5 linked regions of the Danio rerio genome follow. The protein of the gene in region 1 purifies or fractionates together with the protein of each later gene. This does not show direct contact. Links are inferred from orthologs where the notes say so. Each region holds a gene or a part of one and is shown in the gene's direction. Other genes may lie near its edges. The genes, in order: nop2, rrs1, nip7, nifk and nop56.

The links.
Region 2: the proteins of nop2 (region 1) and rrs1 fractionate together in Homo sapiens (co-fractionation; 3 studies listed by BioGRID and IntAct, with this or other methods). This does not show direct contact. The link is inferred for Danio rerio from reciprocal best matches to the Homo sapiens genes NOP2 and RRS1.
Region 3: the proteins of nop2 (region 1) and nip7 purify together in Homo sapiens (affinity purification with mass spectrometry; 3 studies listed by BioGRID and IntAct, with this or other methods). This does not show direct contact. The link is inferred for Danio rerio from reciprocal best matches to the Homo sapiens genes NOP2 and NIP7.
Region 4: the proteins of nop2 (region 1) and nifk fractionate together in Homo sapiens (co-fractionation; 3 studies listed by BioGRID, with this or other methods). This does not show direct contact. The link is inferred for Danio rerio from reciprocal best matches to the Homo sapiens genes NOP2 and NIFK.
Region 5: the proteins of nop2 (region 1) and nop56 fractionate together in Homo sapiens (co-fractionation; 3 studies listed by BioGRID and IntAct, with this or other methods). This does not show direct contact. The link is inferred for Danio rerio from reciprocal best matches to the Homo sapiens genes NOP2 and NOP56.

The regions. Positions count from the first base shown.
Region 1 is NC_133191.1:17,328,486-17,332,671, reverse strand, and holds the start of nop2 (28S rRNA (cytosine(4447)-C(5))-methyltransferase), read left to right. Parts: upstream 1-1,279; 5' UTR 1,280-1,418; intron 1,419-1,888; exon of another isoform or gene 1,889-1,891; 5' UTR 1,892-1,921; coding exon 1,922-2,027; intron 2,028-2,141; coding exon 2,142-2,181; intron 2,182-2,274; coding exon 2,275-2,342; intron 2,343-3,556; coding exon 3,557-3,786; intron 3,787-4,186. UniProt on the Homo sapiens protein: S-adenosyl-L-methionine-dependent methyltransferase that specifically methylates the C(5) position of cytosine 4447 in 28S rRNA. Required for efficient rRNA processing and 60S ribosomal subunit biogenesis.
Region 2 is NC_133199.1:27,758,250-27,761,531, reverse strand, and holds rrs1 (ribosome biogenesis regulatory protein homolog), read left to right. Parts: upstream 1-1,367; 5' UTR 1,368-1,376; coding exon 1,377-2,417; 3' UTR 2,418-2,695; downstream 2,696-3,282. Other genes in the region: pola1 (DNA polymerase alpha catalytic subunit), read right to left, coding at 15-63. UniProt on the Homo sapiens protein: Involved in ribosomal large subunit assembly. May regulate the localization of the 5S RNP/5S ribonucleoprotein particle to the nucleolus.
Region 3 is NC_133193.1:7,001,621-7,005,743, reverse strand, and holds the end of nip7 (60S ribosome subunit biogenesis protein NIP7 homolog), read left to right. Parts: intron 1-1,048; coding exon 1,049-1,187; intron 1,188-2,901; coding exon 2,902-3,042; intron 3,043-3,137; coding exon 3,138-3,257; 3' UTR 3,258-3,463; downstream 3,464-4,123.
Region 4 is NC_133184.1:39,869,954-39,874,299, forward strand, and holds the start of nifk (MKI67 FHA domain-interacting nucleolar phosphoprotein), read left to right. Parts: upstream 1-1,401; 5' UTR 1,402-1,508; coding exon 1,509-1,622; intron 1,623-1,874; coding exon 1,875-2,003; intron 2,004-3,262; exon of another isoform or gene 3,263-3,389; intron 3,390-3,469; coding exon 3,470-3,578; intron 3,579-3,671; coding exon 3,672-3,883; intron 3,884-3,964; coding exon 3,965-4,024; intron 4,025-4,079; exon of another isoform or gene 4,080-4,206; intron 4,207-4,314; coding exon 4,315-4,346.
Region 5 is NC_133196.1:13,332,439-13,336,100, reverse strand, and holds part of nop56 (nucleolar protein 56), read left to right. Parts: intron 1-203; coding exon 204-304; exon of another isoform or gene 305-470; intron 471-1,014; coding exon 1,015-1,163; intron 1,164-1,350; coding exon 1,351-1,472; intron 1,473-2,754; exon of another isoform or gene 2,755-2,821; intron 2,822-2,904; coding exon 2,905-3,033; exon of another isoform or gene 3,034-3,312; intron 3,313-3,518; exon of another isoform or gene 3,519-3,662. UniProt on the Homo sapiens protein: Involved in the early to middle stages of 60S ribosomal subunit biogenesis. Required for the biogenesis of box C/D snoRNAs such U3, U8 and U14 snoRNAs. Part of the small subunit (SSU) processome, first precursor of the small eukaryotic ribosomal subunit.

The DNA.
Region 1 (4,186 bases):
TTGCACAGACTCCGGTAAAAGAGAGTTGCTGGCGTTCATCGTCTCGTTTTCCAGAAGCGTCTCGTCCATTTCATCTGCTGATCCACCGCTCTTCTCTGGGTCCTCACAGTCTTTAGATTCGTCAAGGACAGATTTGTCCGTCTCTATGGGGTCCAGGTAGTGACAAACGCTCTTCCGACCGAACGACTCTTCTTCGTTGAGAGCCAGCACCTCTATGCGGTTGGAGACGGGCTCGTCTTCTTTCCTCTCTGACAGAAACGTTCGCTGCAGCATCAGTTTCTTCATTGTGTGACATTTGTATTTAAGTGCTGCATTAGAAGATGACCTGTCCTCCTCAAAGATCACGCATGTCCCGATAGCGTCCTCGTACTCACCGGTGAACAGATACCGGCCGACTTGCAGCATGGGCTGCTCGCTGTCGATGTCCACTATCTTGCAGGTGCCTTGCCGATTGGAGATTAAGTCAGAGTTGATCATTCCTGACAGTTCAGCCACAACCATCTGCTCTTCCTCTTCCCACTCGTCTTCCATGGCTAAAAAGACTATTTGTTTATCTATACGATGAGACGAAGATGCAACTCGTGTATTGAAACGCTTAACATCTAAGTTAGCGACGAATTGTTTCGCATAATGTACGCGACGGAAGTAGTTAACTGGGGGGTCTGATTCGTTTACGAGAATCGGTTGCTTTGAACAGTTTTTAACCGGTTTAATGATTCAACACACGGTTTGTTAAAATTTTTCTTTTTATTTTAAATTAATCGATGTAACTTATTATGCCTGTTTGCTGCAACCAATATTCAGTTTGACCAGTATTTTACTAAGACTATAGCCAATAAATAAGCTAAATAAACTTTTATATCTGAGTGTTTTGTATTAAAAATTTCATTTGATGCTAAAATTTTGTTGCCTTTTACGTGTTATTATTTCACATTTTATACAGGCAAATTCATGCTGTAAAATGTCTAGTTGTGATTGCCATTGTGTTGTTATTTAGGTAACGTTAACCCTGAAAATGTAATGTGTTCTGGTATGGTGGTTGCAACCACCTCTTTTTGTCTGAATAGTTCATATGTTATCAGTACACAATCAAGTAATAAATAAAGGTAAATAAAACATTATGTTTTATTTGTGTGTTCTGTGTTTCTTCTCTATTAAACGTTTACCAAATTTAATTAGCCTGAAAATGCTGAAGAAAAAAACGACTCGTTAAAAAGATTTGACTCCAAGAATCAGGAGTCGGGCATCGCTAGCAACTTCCGGAAAACCAACGTGTGCTGAAGTCACATGTGCGCGAGTTCACAGCAGTATGAGTGGCACATGTTCTCTGGTAACTTTAGTACATTAAAGCCTCTATATATTTACTGAGTGTTCTAAAGAAGAGTCGGAAAATTTGAGGAACGCGGTTTTGTTAAACTGTGAGTATCCGATAACTGCCGTTTTTACAGTATTTTTTAAATGTCTTTATTAGGTCACAGTAAGCTAATGTTAGGCTCGTAGTTCGCAGCCGTGCGAGTTAGTGTCCAGAATACACATCGTGTTTAATCTCAACATGGTTTTACATTTACTGCAACAATTTAAATATGAATATTTAATATTTTTGTGGCCTTATGAATGTTGGCACATGTTAAAACTAGTTTCGTGTTCCTAGCTAACAATCAACCAGCCTGTTATGAAAGTAATTTTAAAGTTGTAATTCTCACCACAACAGACAGATATATGTTTAAATACAAGGGAAAACTTTAATTAATTAGTGTTTTTACTTTAAAGTGGGATACACTGTATATTGGAAGAAAGCCACATGAGACAATCCATATACAGTGTAGTGTTTGCAAGCTTAGAGATATGCTTGACGTTAAATGATGTTGATTTTTTTTTTTACTTGCAGCAGTGCTGTAGCACAACCTTATAAGTGTCAAACATGGGAAGGAAGTTGGATCCCACTATTAAGGTGAAAAGAGGACCAGGACGTAAGGCCAGGAAACAGAAAGGAGCAGAAACTGAGCTCTCCAAGTTTTTGGCTGATGGTAAATGGCACATATATTAATATATGTTAATTTGTTGTTATTTTCTTAATTAATGCATGCTTGCTTGCATTCTTAATTTAGTTTCTAATTTTGTTCAACTGTCTCTTTTCACAGATGAGGGGCCAAAAAAACTTTCAAGCAGAGCAAGGAAACGGTAAATTTCTCATGATATGAAAACATTTAATAATTTCTTATCTATACTGAGACCTTATTTTTTTTAATTGTATGTATTTTTTTATTTGTGCAGAGCTGCAAAGAGAGCCCAGGTTACCAAGCAGCTCAAAGAGCCTAAACAAGAGGAAAAGCCCAAAAAAGGTATTGCATTTTAAAGGGAACCTATTATGCACTATTATACAAGATGTAAAATAAGTTGCTGATGTTTCTAGAGTGTTTATGTTAAGTTTTAGCTCAAAATACCACATTAATATTTTTTTTAGAACTCTTTGAAACTGCCCCTTTTATGCTGCGTTTACTCAAGATGCTGAAGAAGCGTCAAGCGTAAGTGATTTTACATGTTAAGTTAATCTAACGATGCGGATGGAAATCCTCTGGCACGATACGCGTGAATGACATGGAGCAAATGATGTGATTTATACGCATGAAGCGTTGCGAGTTGAGCGATTGGCGCACACATCGCAGGATTATGACGTAGCACCTGTTGTTGGTCTCCCGGGGAAAAATCCTCCTGCCGACGCCGACAATAGTTCATCAAACTGGGCTCAGCTCACTCAGAACCACCGCTGGAAGCTTCCATCGTCCAGGTACATTTTCTGGAGGAGTTGAAGAACTCGCAGAGCTGGGTGCACCACTGAATGGATTTAGTGGACGCAGACATGGCTCCAAACGAATTGACGCTGTTTTATTTTAGTTCTCCGAAAGCACAGAAACAGCAGTTTTCTCAATAAAATCCATGTTAGCCATTTAGCAATGAAGCTAGAGTCATTGGGCAGACAGAATCCCCCGCCCATGATGCTAATCCACGTCTGTTGTGAAGTGAATTTGATGAGCAAATGAAGCGAGTAAACTCAAAATGCTGAAATGAGTGAATATTGCCAGGACAGTCAACAGCTTTAGGCTTGATCCAAATTGTGCTGTATTGATGACTGTCCCTTTAAATTTAAATGGGATGGTGTTCCCAGCACTCTTTTCAAAAGAGGGTGGAGCTATAAACACCCATGTTTCACCGTAGTAGGAGATTAAAGGTGGACAGCTGCTTTTCTCTTGTGTCTGTTTAATCCATTGAGGGAGAGATTTGTCACTAATGGGAGGGAATTTCTCCCTATTGACAAGTGCAAAGCAAAAATGTCAATCAAAATGTTTTTGCAAGCTTTTTTATTAGGTGTTTAAGAATAGACTTAGTAATTTTTACTGTTGAGGCAGGCTATATTCACACACGGTTACCACACAACTGTGTTTAAACCCCTTATAAAGTGATTTTTTAAATATTAAAGGCTCCTTTTAAAATTGAAACTAATGGAATAATAGTGTCATTATACTCAAGTTTGCTAATCAATTTATGCATATTTCAGGTTTTTCTGATGAGAATAAAGAGTGGCTGAAACCTGCACAGAGGAAGCGAAAGATTGAACAATCTGAGGAAGATGAGGATAGTGACAGCCAATGGGAAGATGATGATGATGCCGATAATGAGCAGACATTTGATCACAAGGATATAAAGAATGAAGATGATGATGATGAAGATATGGTTGATGACTATGGTGCTGATGAAGGTGATGAAAAAGACAGTGATGGAGAAGAGGTATGTAATTTTTGTTTAAACCAGTGAAACTAATATTTGTATCGGGGGAAGTTTTGACATTGCCAGATGTCATTAACTGGTTCATATGAACTGAAGTGCTATAATATAGACTATTTTGAGGGATGTAAACAATAACAATAGCATTGATTCATTTCCTAATTTACATTATCATAATTTTCATTGCTTCCGAGAATTAAAAAAAAAAAAAAAATATATATATATATATATATATTGGGATAATCATATGGAAGGTGTTTTAATGTAAAGTTATCATTGAATTGGCTTAACAGTCAAAAAATAGTTGGATTATTATTTCTGTTTTAGTTGAAAACAAGCAGGAAGTTTTCATGAGACAATGACATCACCACATTGAAATAGTCTATGTAGTTTTTACACTGCC
Region 2 (3,282 bases), on another chromosome or scaffold:
GTAAACACGCTCACCACAATCTCCGCCGTCCATGTCTTTATCGGGATTTGAAACAGGAGCCATTGATATAAAATGCGGTTGAGTCGAGGTAGAATTTCTCTCTCCTTACAAAGGGCGAAGCCAAAACAACAGATTTCCGCGCCAAAGTGTCTTCCCGGGGAAACTCGAGCAGCGGATATGACGTTCTCACCAGCCGACCAATCTGAACAAGTTGATTCGAACTGTTGTAGACAGACTTTATTCAGTGTATTTTTTAGCACATTCATTTTTTTATATCGGAGACTTGAGTTTTTTGTTATTTTACAATTAAAGATCATTTTGTTTGCGTAACTGAACAGTAATGCAAATACTACTACTACTACTACTACTACTACTACTACTACTACTACTAATAATAATAATAATAATAATAATAATTATAATAATAATAATAATAACAAGTTTGTTTTTGTTTGCATACTGTATGCAGAGGCAATTTCCAGATTTTTTCTGTTAGAATTTTCAAGAATAACATTGGCATCAGTTCAGAAATCATATTATCAGTTCAGTATCACTTGTTCAGTAATAATATAATCCAAACAGATCCAAAAAATCAGTTTTAAAATCATACCAAAAACACAATTTAAGTATTATTAAGGATAATTAATTATTTTTAGATATTTGTAGTGGTCGATGATAAAACAAATACAACCGTGCGTGTGTATAACTGCAACAAAATAAATAAATCAATATTTCTACCACAACTATGGGTTTCACTTATAGGTTTTACTGGCATTTAGAAACCAATCATTTGTCCCAGGTTACACATCCACAGAACCGATATATATCTAAATAAATTTAATATTTTATCAAAACGAACCATTTGCTCCGTATGCTTAACCCACCGGTTCGGTTCGGCTATAAGATTCACGCATCCACAAACTGAATCACTGAGTCAGGTTCGTTTGAATCATGTCTTCGAGCACTTCAGGTAACTTCTGGCATGTGGCCACTTTATTGATTCTGATCACAAAAATGTCGACTCTGGTGGGACTCGAACCCACAACCTTTGAATGACCCCATTCAACAATCTAGAAGTCCAATGCGCTATCCATTGCGCCACAGAGCCGATGGGACGTCCTGTCGGTTTATCGCTACTCCTGCATTCGACCGAACAACTTTCGTCCGAAGTAAGTTAGTTAGTATCATAAACATATACACTTAGGATAAACGTTTTACTAGCTAAAACATGTTTAAAGATTGTTATATTTCTTTAACTCATTTGAAATGTTTATTTTATTTTTTAAGTTAGTTTTTAGTTCTTTTATTTTGAAATACCAGACTTCCGCTTTTAGCGGCACATGTGGGAACCCACGTTGTCTGTCAGTAGAACCAAAATGGCTTCGTGCAGTATTGAAGACGTGCTCGCTAAAGCTGAAAGAGACGAGGCTGAGAAGCTCAAAAGTATTACGGTGCTCAAAGAGTTGGATCTTGAATTCGACCCGGGACTTTTGCTGGCGTTTGACAAGAACCGACTTGACACACGGGACTTTAAAGGCAACAAACGGGAGGACTGTCTTCGCTCTTTAGCGCGAGACAACACACAACTTCTCATCAACGAGATATGGAAACTACCCACAGAGAGAGTCGACGAAGTGATCGTCGCCAAGCTGCCAGAACCGACCACTAAACTACCCAGAGAAAAACCAGCACCGAAACCTAAGCCTCCTACTAAATGGGAACAGTTTGCCAAGCTGAAAGGCATTCAGAAGAAAAAGAAGACCAACTTGGTCTGGGATGAAGTTCACAAGGAGTGGAAGAGGAGATGGGGGTATAAACGTGCCAAAGATGACACCAAAGAGTGGTTGATTGAGGTCCCGGCGACTGCAGATCCAAACGAAGACCAGTTCGCCAAAAGGAATAAAGCCAAAAAGGAAAGAGTGGCCAGAAACGAGTACAACAGACTCAAAAACATCGCCAGAGCTCAGAAGGTCAAGGTTCCTGGAACAGGACTCCTGCCTACATCCCAGCAGACCAAAGCGGAGCTGGCACAAGCGGTCAGTCTGGCCAAAATATCCACCGCATCGGTTGGCAAATTCCAGGAGAAGCTGCCCAAGGAAAAACCAGCCAGAAACACTGGGAAGAAGAGGAAATTCCAGCCTCTTATTGGGGACTTCAGTAGCGAGAAGCAAAAACAGCTGGATTTATTGAAGGTGATGGACAGTAAGAAGCCCCGTCTCGATATCACTAAAGCTGTGAATAAGCAGATGAGGGAAGAGGACTCGGAGTCTGCTCGGAATAATAAGAAAGGGTTTGGAAAGAAGGGACGCAAGGGAGGCATGCCTGGTAAAGGAAAAGGCAAAGGAAAACCTGGAGGAAAGGGAAAAGCTCCTAAAGGCAAAGGGCGCAAACCTCAGATGAAGCAAGGAAAGCGCTAACATTTAAAGCAGTGTGGTGGACTTATGATGTTTATTGTAGAATATAATAAATATTGCACACGACTCAACTTCTCTTAAGTCATGACTTTGAGTGCCTTGCGGCTGGAGTTTGATTCAGTACAGGAATCGGGTTTGTTTATGTGTTTAGGCTTTATCTACATATGTCATGGATTAAGATCATTGAACCGTTTTCATAAATGTCATCTAATATTGACTCCTGTTATTCATTCGTAATTGTGTTTTCACATTAAATTAAAATTCTTTCTGATTTGCCATCAGTTCCTGGTTGGATATTGTGAATAATGAGGTTATATTTCATCCCCAAAGTTATTTAAAAATGAGTATAAATGTGTCAAAGCCTGCTGTTAATGGGTAACATTTGTACTTAAATAGTATGTTCTTATAATGTAATATAAAATATCATCAAATGTGTATTTTAGAATTATAAAGCTAAAATATCACCTTAAAAAATTGAAGCTAAGATTCAATTAATAAAGTATTTGAGCAATTTTAATGAAAAGAATATGATTAGATTTATCTTATACCATCAAATAGAGGAGACATCCCATTTCAGTGTCTACCTAAGTTCACAAATGTGATTTTTAATTACAGCAATCAAATTAAATCTAATTAAATTGTTTAGTGATTTAAATAACTTTTGTGAAATTAAAAATATGAGTTAAAAACGCTGTATTGTCATTTAGTGTTATGTGAAAATGAAACCTACTGTTATTCTGATCTGTGATGTGACAAATATGTATAAAATAATAACTTAAAGCTTTCCCAGAGATGGGTTGCAGCTGGAAGGGCATCCACTGCATAAAACATAAACTGGAAAAGATGGCAGTTCATTCTGCTGTGGCGA
Region 3 (4,123 bases), on another chromosome or scaffold:
GTTCTGCTCCTTTAAGTAGTGAATTGGCTTTTAACTAGACGAGTAATTAATATTTAGGTCCCAGAGTAATTTAGTCAGTATTTGGAAGTACACTTGCATATAGTTGAACAGAATAGGGCACTTTTCTGCAATTAAAGCAAAACACAATCATTTTCTCCATAGGGAATTAATTTTATATGCCTATGTTGATTGTTCAAATTAATGGAAATATTTTCAGAACAACAATGTGTAATAGCTGAATTCATGCAGAAAACCTACATTACCCATAATGCCATATTGAAAATCCACCAATCAGAGAGATAGATCTTTAACCAAGTTAATTGGCTTTTGACTAAACAAGTAATTAATATTTAGGTCTCAATTTAGAAGTACATTTACATATTTACATATAGTTGACCTCAAAGTGAACAGAATAGAGCACAATACTTTTCTGCAAGTAAAAAAAAACTTTAATTTTCTTCAAATGGAATGAGTTCTCATAAACTTTTGTTGATCCAATTTGTTCAAATTAATCTAAATAATTTTCAGAAATGTCATGTGTAGTAGCGGAATTTGTGTAGAAAAAACTAGATTACCCATGATGCTGTATTGAAAATCCACCAATCGGAGAGATAGATCTTAAACAAAGTTAATTGGATTTTGACCATACAAGTAATTAATATTTAGGTCTCAATTTATTCAGTATTTAGCAGTACATTTACATATAGTTGACCTCAAAGTGAACAGAATAGAGCACAATACTTTTCTGCAAGTAAAAAAAAATCCATTAATTTTCTTCAAATGGAATGAGTTTTTAATATATCTCATAAACTTTTGTTGATCCAATTTGTTCAAAGTAATCTAAATAATTTTCAGAAATGTCGTGTATAGTAGCGGAATTTGTGTGGAAAAAACTACATTACCCATGATGCTGTATTGAAAATCCACCAATAAAAGAGGTCCATCTTTAGCTACATCTCTCGATGGTAAAAAGAGCTACAGATGATAAAATGTATGAAAGTTGCAAATGTGAATAAGTAATCTGTAATTTATTTGTTTTCCATTTTAGTGAAAAAATCCTGAAGTTGGCAACAAATGTCTCCAGAGATAAACTGGTATCAGTTGGCACGTGTTTCGGAAAGTTCACGAAGACACAAAAGTTCCGCCTGCACATCACAGCTCTCGATTTCCTCGCACCGTATGCTAAGGTACATATTTAGTTTTGATCATGTAAATTTTTTTACAGTAACCATAGCCGGTTTAGCATCCTAACAGGAAACAAATCTTTTCAAAGTTTGCAAAAAAAGGAATAAAAATCACAAATAGGGATGCACCGATACCATTCTTTTGGAACCGATCTCATCTCGATGCCAAAATTCTGAGTATCGACCGATACCGTTTTTTGTATATATTAACATAGTTCTGGTATAATTTATCTTCTTTAGTGAAAATTACACACCTATAGGCCTACTATATAGATGAATTACGATGTTTGTAACCATTCAAGATGCGCGCACAGGCAGGTGGCAGAAAAAAAAACAGGGAGCGCTAGCATTTACAGCGAGGGAATGACATCCGATACGGTAGAGTTCGTTGTTGTCTTAAAAATAATTTATATCGAATAATTATTATTTACATAATGCTTTCAACGTAGTCTAACAGCTTGTCACCCAGTGATAAGCACAGTGATTCGGCAAAATTAACGTTAAAGTGAGCAGCGTTCATCTGACTGGTCCATTTGCGATAGGATCCCAATGGATATTGGATAAAACAAAATGGCGAAGCATCCAGCTCCAAATATACAATTTCATTGATGATTCTAATTAATCTCAATCTCATTAAAAACCGAGGTTCTGCCTAGCCAAAGACAAGGAAAAAAGACGTAGCTAACGTTATACAAGGCCTGGGTAATCATCAAGCAAAACAACTGCATTCTGACAGTGAACTACACCTGAACTTACGGCAGGGTATGTGACATTTCTATAAAAACATTTCTGAACAGCCCTCCATCCGCTGAAAACGCACATCACGTGACCACACAGACACACACACACACACACTGTCATGCGCTCCTCTGAGCTCCAGAGAGCAGTGCATGTCGGACAGTTTATGAAGGATGTAGCACTGAATCGCGTCTCACTATAGTTGTTAAACGTGATATTCAGACATTCCAAGTCTCCTGGAAGTTGGGATTCTGGAAGTTCCGGAAGTCTCTTTGCATTTGCGGGACTCATAATGCCCGCAAAACGAGTGATAATCGTGTGGCTCCCTCCCGCTCCTCAAATAAGTTGCGCGTCCTTCTCACCCTCGGATCCCTCCTCGCTCCGCGTGCACTCTATCAAGCTCAACCCCCTCGGCCCTGCTTTTTACAAGATGATGATGCCATCGCCCATCGCGATGTTTCACATTAGACAACTTGCAATGCCAAATTTATTGACATCGCCTAACCCTCTTGTCCAGTGTAATTGTGATGTCCATGTCATATAAATAAGTAAAAAAAAACAAAAAAAAACGTCTAAGGCCAGTTTTACTTAATAAAAATCAGTGTTCCTGTATCTGTTGTTACACGCAGTAAACAGCAGTGAATTCTGTGATCTGTTGAGCTTCGAGGCCAATCACAGTCATTTCTGTTGAGCATGTGAACACAACGGCAAATCAGCCCTGTTTAAGAATGCGCTCAACAGCAGGAAATTTACATATTTTTAAAATTCCAGTATCGTGCAAACCACAACCATCAAATTAGTTTCCATCTATTTGGACAATCAAGTCTCGCCCTACTTTTTATTCACTCATGAAGCAGTTTTACCTAAACTGTACATCACAATAAGGAATAGTTATCAACAATCAAAACTTCTCTTTCATTTCAACTTGCAACAAACTGGCTGTTTTCATATCAGTAATACACAATGTGATGTGATGTAGTTTAAGGTGTGGGTGAAGCCGGGATCGGAGCAATCATTCCTGTACGGAAACCACATCATGAAGTCCGGCCTGGGCAGAATCACAGAAAACACAGACAAGTACCAGGGAGTGCTGGTGTATTCAATGGCTGACGTACCACTCGTAAGATATTCCTACACTTCTTTTTGAAAGTCTTATAACTCTGGTAATGTTTGGGAGAAGTATGCTGTTGTTTTACCGTTTTCATCTGATTTCAGGGTTTTGGAGTTGCAGCGAGAACAACACAGGAGTGCAGGAAAGTCGACCCCATGGCTATTGTGGTTTTCCATCAGGCTGATATTGGAGAATATATCAGAAGTGAAGATACTCTGACATAAGACGATATCATTGCTCAGTTTGGCATGGACGGTTCATTACATTCTGGCGATTGGATACCTTTATTTTTTTCTTCCATCTTATAGGCGTGACATGCTTTGAATTCAAAGCATTATTGTCATCATTTTTCACCCTGTTGCCTTCTTTTCAATGTCTAAATACATATGTGAGTTTCTGTTAACCATTTCTGTATTAAAGAAATACTAAATTAAGTCAAGATTTAGAATTTTGTGATGTGATTTTTATTTATTTTTATTTTTATTTTTTTTGCAGGTTATTGTCTTCTGCTTATAAAAGAACACAGGGCAAAGTAGGAAACAATACCAGACCAAATGACATCTTACAGAAACTAGTTAAAAGTAATGTTAAGGTAAACCTGTGTCGATGTGCAGTTTTTAATAGTTTGTTTAGCAAGACTAACTTCAAACTTTCAGACTAATTTCCAATTTTCAGTAAATTAAGAGACATCGGCATCAAACTTAAACATGGTTCAATAAATTCGGTGCAAATTGTTAGAGTGACTTTTTTTGTTTTAATAATCTACATTTTCACAGGCAGGTTTTTAACATGAAAACTAAAGCACAAAAGTAATATCCTGCAAACTAAATATTTACATTTTCTATGAATTTTCATAAAGTATTTCTTGGTATTTAAATTTTTTTATTGCATTTTGGGTCATTAATAATTCATTCTATTTTTTTAAATACACATGTATTTTTTTAATAGTTAAAATGTTTTATTATAAAGTATCACATTTCATCAGAAAATACAGAAAACCTAGAAATATTTAAAAATCGCATAAATTCATAGAAAATTAAAATATTTGCTTTGCAAGATTTGCTTTTGTTATATATATATATATATATAT
Region 4 (4,346 bases), on another chromosome or scaffold:
AGATAAGTAATTTACAACAACTACAATATTAAGATAAATAATATGCAAACACAGTAAAATCACTCTTGAGTTTATTTAATATTTAAGACATTTAGGAAAATGTAACTATTTATTAAAACATAATAAATAGCACAGATATTTATTAGCAATATTAAGATAATTAATATGCAAACAAAGCGAACTCCCTATTTATTTAGTATTTAGGACATTTAAGAAGATGTAAATATTTATTAAAACATAATAAAATGGCACAGCACAACCTTGGTCAATGCCGTTGGGTAGATAAGTTATTTATTACAAGTAAAATGTTAAGATAATTAATAAGCAAACAACGCAAACCCACTATTGATTTGTTTGTTTGTTTGTTTGTTTGTGTGTTTATCTAGAATTTAAGAAATTTAAGAGCATGTAAATATTTATTAAAACATAATAAATAGTACAGCACAGCCTTAGTCAACTCTGTTGGGTAGATAAGTAATTTATAACAAGTAAAATATTAAGATAATTAATAAGCTAACTGTAAACCCACTATTTATTTGTTTGTTTGTTTGTTTGTTTGTTTAGTATTTAATAAATGTAATACAGTGTAAATATTTAATAAAACATAATAAATAGCATAGCACAACCTTAGTCAATGCCGTTGAGTAGATAAATTATAACAAGTAAAATATTAAGATAATTAATAAGCAAACAACGTAACCCCACTATTTATTTGTTGTTTGTTTGTTTGTTTATTCATTCATTAATTTTTGGCTTAGTCCCTTTATTAATCTGGGATCGCCACAACAGAATTAACCGCCTTATTTATTTGTTTATTTAGTATTTAACAAATTTAATCCAGTGTAAATATTTATTAAAACATAATAAATAGCATAGCAAAACCTTAGTCAATAAGCAAACTACGTAAATTCACTATTTATTTGTTTGTTTGTTTATTTATTTCTTTAGTATTTAAGAAAGTTATACAGTGTAAATATTTAATAAAACATAAAAATAGCAAAGCACAACCTTAGTCAACGCTGTTGATAAGTAATTTATAACACGTAAAATATTTTGATAATTAATAAGCAAACAACGCAAACCCACTATTGATTTGTTTGTTTGCTTATCTAGTATTAAAGAAATTTAAAAGCATGTAAATATTTATTAAAACACAATAAATAGTACAGCACAACCTTAGTCAACTCCGTTGGGTAGATAGGTAATTTATAACAAGTAAAATATTAAGAAAAATAATAAACAAACGACGCACACTCAGTATTTATTAAGTATTAAAGAAACTTAAGGAAACTCAGACGTTTATTAAAACATATTACATAACATAGCACAACTGTCAACGCCGTGAGTTTAGTTGACTTTTATTTTGTAGCTTTTGCAGGCTTTTATTTTGAATTGTCGCTTGCATTAGCAGTTTCCTGAACGAGGCACAACGTGGTTTTAGGAGAAGCCATACGACAGTAGGTTCAAAACGTTTAGCTTTATTTATTTGACCACTGTTAGATTTCAATATGACAGAAGGCAAATCATCAGACAAGCCGGCGAAAAGACTGCTGGCTCTGAATCCGAAAGAGGACGCAGAATTTCAGAAGAAAGTGCAGCAAGTGAAGAAGCGTCCTCAAACGGTATGATGCGTGGCCATGTGGCCTTAGTTTAGCCTGACAGTGCTTCAGATTCACATTTAAAACGTGGTTGGAACAAAATGTTTCTTTTAATCACTAATATGCTGTAGCTAGAGTTAAGTTCGGTAAGATGAGTCTTGTTTACACTTGACGGTGCTAATGTAATGTTACTATTTGGTTTACGGTGCACATGTTACATTCAATATTTTGTTTTGCATTGAATGCGCTTCATAATTTGTTTTGGTCCTCTTTCAGGGTCAAACACTTAGTCCAGGAGTGCTGTATGTTGGTCATCTTCCTCGAGGACTGTTTGAGCCTCAGTTGAAATCTTACTTTGAGCAGTTTGGCAAAGTCTTACGATTGAGAGTTTCCAGGAGTAAAAAGGTATGACGTGCATTTGATTTATTACCTTAGTTTATAATGACATGACGTTAAATATAAAGTAAATTGCTCAATACAAATGGTCAAGACGTTCTAACGCGGACTTTCTGAATCTAATACATGTTAAAATGTTAAAATCTTGCTTTATTTATTAGATAAATTGTTTTATTTTGTGTTTGCCAGTACTAGTATATCTAAACATTTTTTAAAGGGATAGTTCACCAAAAAATTCTGCATCAATTACTCTTTCACTACTTTCTCCTCTGTTGAACACAAAAGGAAACAATTTGAAGAATGTTGGGAACTTAGCATGGAATCCCATAGTATGTTGTTCCTGCTATAGATGGAGGTAAAGTTGGTTTTGTATTAGAATATTCAGACATTCTCCTTAATATAATTTTAGAAAAGTATTCTTTGCAAATTTTAAATAGGAAAATCATATTAGCAGCAAATGACTAACAAAGTACAGCATTGTTCACAGCGAATTAGATAGTGTTGATGTTGTTTTGAAATCAAACATGCTAGTTCAGACTCGATATTCAACATAGCGTGGTAAACAATATAGAGACTGCTAAATGAACAAATGTGCAAATATAAAACCAACTTTTCCTCCATCTACTATAGATGCCAGTGGTGGCTGGGTTTTCAACAATCTGTAAAATGTCTTTTGATAAAGTCTTATGATTGAGTTTGCAGGAGTAAGGTTTTAAGCATTTTGTTACATTGGTTTGCAATGACCTGATGTTAAATATGAAGAAAGGTGGAAGAAGTGTGAGGTAAATGACAGAATTTAGATTAAACTTTTCATTTACGTAGGGTTTATTGGCAGATATTTCGTTTAATAATAAATTAAATAACATTTGGCCAATTTCACAGGGAATTAAGCTTTCTTTACTTTTGTTTTACAAATAAAATCAGCAAAAGCCCTGTAATTTCCAAACAAACCAATAAGAATTCTACAAGGAATCCTATAAAGAAACGCATAAGATCCTCTTGGATAAATACGTTTAATCCAATGAGGCCCAATTTGATTCTAAGAGGATTTTTAGAGAAATCTTATTTGATTCCCAGCGGGTTGCTTTCAGATAATCATCGGCTGCATCTGAATTGTATACTCTAACCATTTCTCATTAACTTTATAGTAGAGAAGTGTGCTTTTTTCTTTATGTAGCTGTAAACATTCTATCAGGATCTTGTGTTTTTTTTTTCTTTCTTTTTTTTCTCGTTTTTAATTTCTCTATATAACAACATGTTTAAAAGGCACAATCTGAAAATTACCTTTGGCATTTTGTTGCGATGGGTAAGATTATTGTGCCAACATTAATTCGGTACATTTAGCTTATTGCCAACTTCATGTAGTTGTGCAATGAAACCCATGTGCCTACATTAATATCACAATAGTCATATTGGGTGATAATGCTTTGCTGGAGGTTTTACCTCATAAATGATTGAACTGTCATCTTTCACAGACTGGTGGGAGCAAAGGCTATGGATTTGTGGAGTTTGAGTGTGATGAAGTGGCTAAGATTGTGGCTGAAACCATGAACAACTACCTTATGGGAGAACGCATTATAAAATGTGAGATGAGAGCATACAAGATTATTAATCATTATTTTTTTTGTCTGTGTGTGATGTTTTTTTATGAGTAATGCTGTGTATTGTACTTTTCAGGTCACGTTATTCCACCTGAGAAGGTTCATGAAAAGCTCTTTGTCGGCTCTATTGCTGGCTTCAAGAAGCCAAAGTATCCTGCAGTGACTCGGTATAACAAAACACACACAGAAGATGATGTGAAGAAAGTTGGCACAAAGCTTTTAAGCAAAGAGTCTAAGCTGCGCAAGAGACTGGCAGCAAAAGGCATTGACTATGATTTCCCAGGATTTGTAAGTACTACAGTCAGAGTATGTTTTAGTTGGGACTTTTAAGATGTTATCATTAATTTGATCATGTTTTTTTGTTTGCAGGCAGCACAGATTCCAGCTAAAAAGGCTCCATCAGAAGCAAATGTTTCAGTGTGCAGTGAGGTTAGTCTAATCATTTTAATTCAGCTTAATTTTTTTACCACTTCTGTATCTTGGCATATACTGAAAATTATTTCAGTTGTAACCATCAACTGGAGTAAGATAACTGTGCCGACAGAAAATGGTACATTTTAAGCTTATTGTCTGTCACTTTGACACGCAATGAAACCCATGTGCCAACAGTTACTGTAGTGTACTCTATTTTTTTTTATTTTGCACATGTTGTTAAGATGCATTTTTAGTGGATCTGATCACAAGGCTGATATCTGCTGTTTTTTTATTGTTGCATTCAGGATGTAACTCCAGTGTGCACACCTTCACTTTT
Region 5 (3,662 bases), on another chromosome or scaffold:
ATATATATATATATATATATATATATATATATATATATATATATATATATATATATTAGCTTTTAGATTTGCTATCTTGTAAACACAGCCCTCTCTGAAACATTTAAAAATACTACTTGTGTATTCTCCATGTACAGAAGTTGCACAACCAAAGTATCAGATTTCTGTTTTTGCATGCTCTGACATCCACTTTCATGTAACAGGTTGGTGCTCGCCTGATCTCTCACGCTGGCAGTTTGACAAACCTGGCCAAATATCCGGCGTCCACCGTGCAGATCCTGGGTGCAGAGAAGGCCCTGTTCAGGTACTGGGGCTCCCCTTCCCTGCTGGGGTTTTACACAGCTGCGGTGATGGCAGGGCCGGGGCGGATCAGGAGCGGGTGATTTGGTGTGTCATTGAACACGCTTTAAGGTGATCCCGCTCAATCTCCCGTACCCCCCAGTCTGAGCAGCTGATGAGGGTTTTGAGAGGTAGATACATCTGAAGACGTTCTGTTGAGAGAGCGCACATGTACAATTACTTCATAGAAAATTACATCTTCAGTTTCTAGTTTAGTAGAATATTTACAGATAATGTATGTCGTGTGATGCTCCAACATATCAGCAGCTGAAAGCATGTGTATTGGTTTTAATATGTTGTCTTGATTGACCAGTTATCAGAAATTTAAAAATGTTTCAAATTGTAAAAAAATCTGCTAGTTATTATATTGAACTAAACTACTTTTGTAATTGTTATTACTCTTGCCTTAAAATAGCCATAAGTTGCTGATGTGGCAAATAAGTAACCTTAACAATGAACAGCAATGATAGTGTTTTTGTCTATATCTAGAAGTTGTCAGTCGCATAGAAGCTCAATTCAGTTACCTTAAGCCAAATAGAATTTCTGAAACATTAGTTTTTGGGTAATTGCAGTTTTTGATTTTTTTTATGGGAAGCAGTTTTGGTGCATCACACAATTGTCAATGCCAAAATTGTGGTGTAGATGGACTTTCTTTTGCTCTTTCCCCTAATTCAGAGCATTGAAGACCAGAGGAAACACGCCTAAGTACGGTCTCATTTTCCACTCGACATTCATCGGGCGCGCAGCTGCCAAAAATAAGGGTCGTATCTCGCGTTACTTGGCCAACAAGTGTACCATCGCATCCCGCATTGACTGCTTTTCTGGTGAGGACCCCTTCTATTATCATTTCAGCCACTTTTTTGCATTTTTGCTATGATGCTTTAATTTTTCGTCAACAGTAACCCACCTCAGTGGTTGTTGAGATGATATTCCTGAGCATAAGTGTGATCAAACGCTTTAGTGGTTTTCTGTTGTGTGGTTTTTCATGATGTTTTTCTTCACTACACACAGAGGTTCCCACAAGTGTGTTTGGTGATAAGCTTCGTGACCAGGTAGAAGAACGTCTGGCCTTCTATGAGACAGGGGAGGCTCCACGAAAGAATCTGGATGTCATGAAAGAAGCTGTTGCACAGGTGAGCCCTCATCCATTGTTCTGGCAACACCAGTATTGTTACAACAGGCAAATGATTTGTTACTTTAAAAAGCTTTATTTTAGTAAGCTAAATGGCTATGAAAGGTTGATTTATAGCAACTAATTTTTTTTTAAGCACCAAAAATGTTTACCAGAATCAAATCTTCCGCCATATTGCATTTTAAGGAAACTTGAGATTATTGCAGTAGTTTGGCATTAGTTCTGAACTAATGTTAAGTAAAATAATTTTTTCTCTTTTTTTATGTTTTAACGGATACATTTTATACAATTGTAGTTTAATTCTGAGAACAGCACTTGTGTACTATTGCTTATCTATATCAAACTATTTATTTATTTTTTGCATAACTTGTATTGGGTCATTTTTAACTGCAGTCTAACAGGTAATGGAGGAATTTACTGTTTTGGCATGTCTTATTAAAAGGTGACTTTCAAAATTCTATCTTTAGCTAAAATTAAAATATTAACATTGACTTATGCCCAACTTGTATATAGATATTTTTTGCCCTCTATTATACCTGTTTCTCACTGCAAATAAAGCAGAAGCAGTGCACTTTAAAAAAATAAAATAAAATCTCTCCCCCCACCAAGGCCCACGACAACTTATGCTGTTAACTTACCCTGCAAGTTTTTAATATCTCATTTTGTTTGTGATCGTCAGCATAACGAAGACCTATAGTTACAGTGATACTTGTACAATATATTTATAATGATATTTATACATGATCGAACTGGTGTGCAACTTAAGCAAAACTAATACTAAAATAGTTTACAATTTAATTTTGTAGTTCGGGCCCAAATAAATATTTGTTGCTGTTAATTGGTTAAGTTACCAGGAGTTTTTAATATATAGGATAGAATTAAAATTCACACAAATATATTCAAAGTTGAATATGATTTATCAAAGTAACTTTTTATTGTAATACGAGTTGCTGATGTGGCAATAAATAAGTTCATTTGATTGAATGTATAAAAAATTAGTGTTTTTATTTGTGTAAATTTATTGGGTAATTCTTTGTTTTTGGTCTTTTATAAATGCTCCATGCCTTTGAGCGTGCTGATGTGCTGCTTCTGCATGCAGTATGAAGCTCTAATCTGTTAACTTGGACGCAGAAAAACACGCTCCGCTCGCACTTGCGGTGTGCAACAGGCGTTAGACGTTAGCATCACCTGTTAAAAGCTAGTAGTGTATATTGTAATTGTTTTAATAGCTAATTCTACCCCTAAAGTGCTGTTTTTACGGTTACTGCAGTTTGAGGATGTGCTGTGAGTGATGACTCTTTCCTCCTGACTCCTACGTGGAGGCGAAAACTGATTTAATGAGCCTGACACAGCACTGTGAATTCATATTCTAATACTCTTGTTCTTGTAGAAATGCAAATACATTTTTTTTTTTTTTTTTTTTTCCCTCGCAGGCTTCTGAGGTGGCTGCTGAAATAAAGCGGAAGCTTGAGAAAAAGGAAAAGAAGAAAAAGAAGCGGCAGAAGAAGCTAGAAGCTCTTTCCACTGCAGAAGGAGATGAGGAAACCAATGGTGATGTTGAGGTACATAGAGTAACCATCTTTAAGCCACAAGTGTTTTTAAATTGGTGTTCAGGGGATTAGGGGTTTGTAGAAATCTTTCATAAAGCAGAATGTTAACTGAGTGTTGGTTTTTATTCAGAAATTACTTGAGAAATGTATTTAAATACTGCAGCTCTAATACAAGGATGTTCAGTGTTTGTCTGAGATGATTAGTCGACCAAAATGTGTGTATTCCATACAAGCTGAAGCTGAGATCTAGTCGCGTGACTCATGGTGCGCTTGTGGGATTCATTCAACTGGGTGCGTTTGGAAGGTGGAAATAACGAATTTGCACACACTCACAATGTGCAAAAGGCCGCTGTCATTTGCGATGTCCTGCAGTTGATCTTGCTCAGACATGGTGGATTCACTTGATTTGTTGACAGGTCTATTCCTTGGCAGTTCATGGGTCCTACACTGGGCCTTTTCCCCCTTAGCAAAGAAACTTTCATATGTTTGTTACTCAGTTTTGTGCTTGTGGGTTAAATTTGCTTGTTTAAAGCACACTAGGTACACACTAGGTACAGTTGCCTTGAACCGGGCCAAAGCACGCTCGTCCCCTCTCCCGTCTCCCCCGACGGCCCGTACTCGCACCACAAATGGGCCTCGGC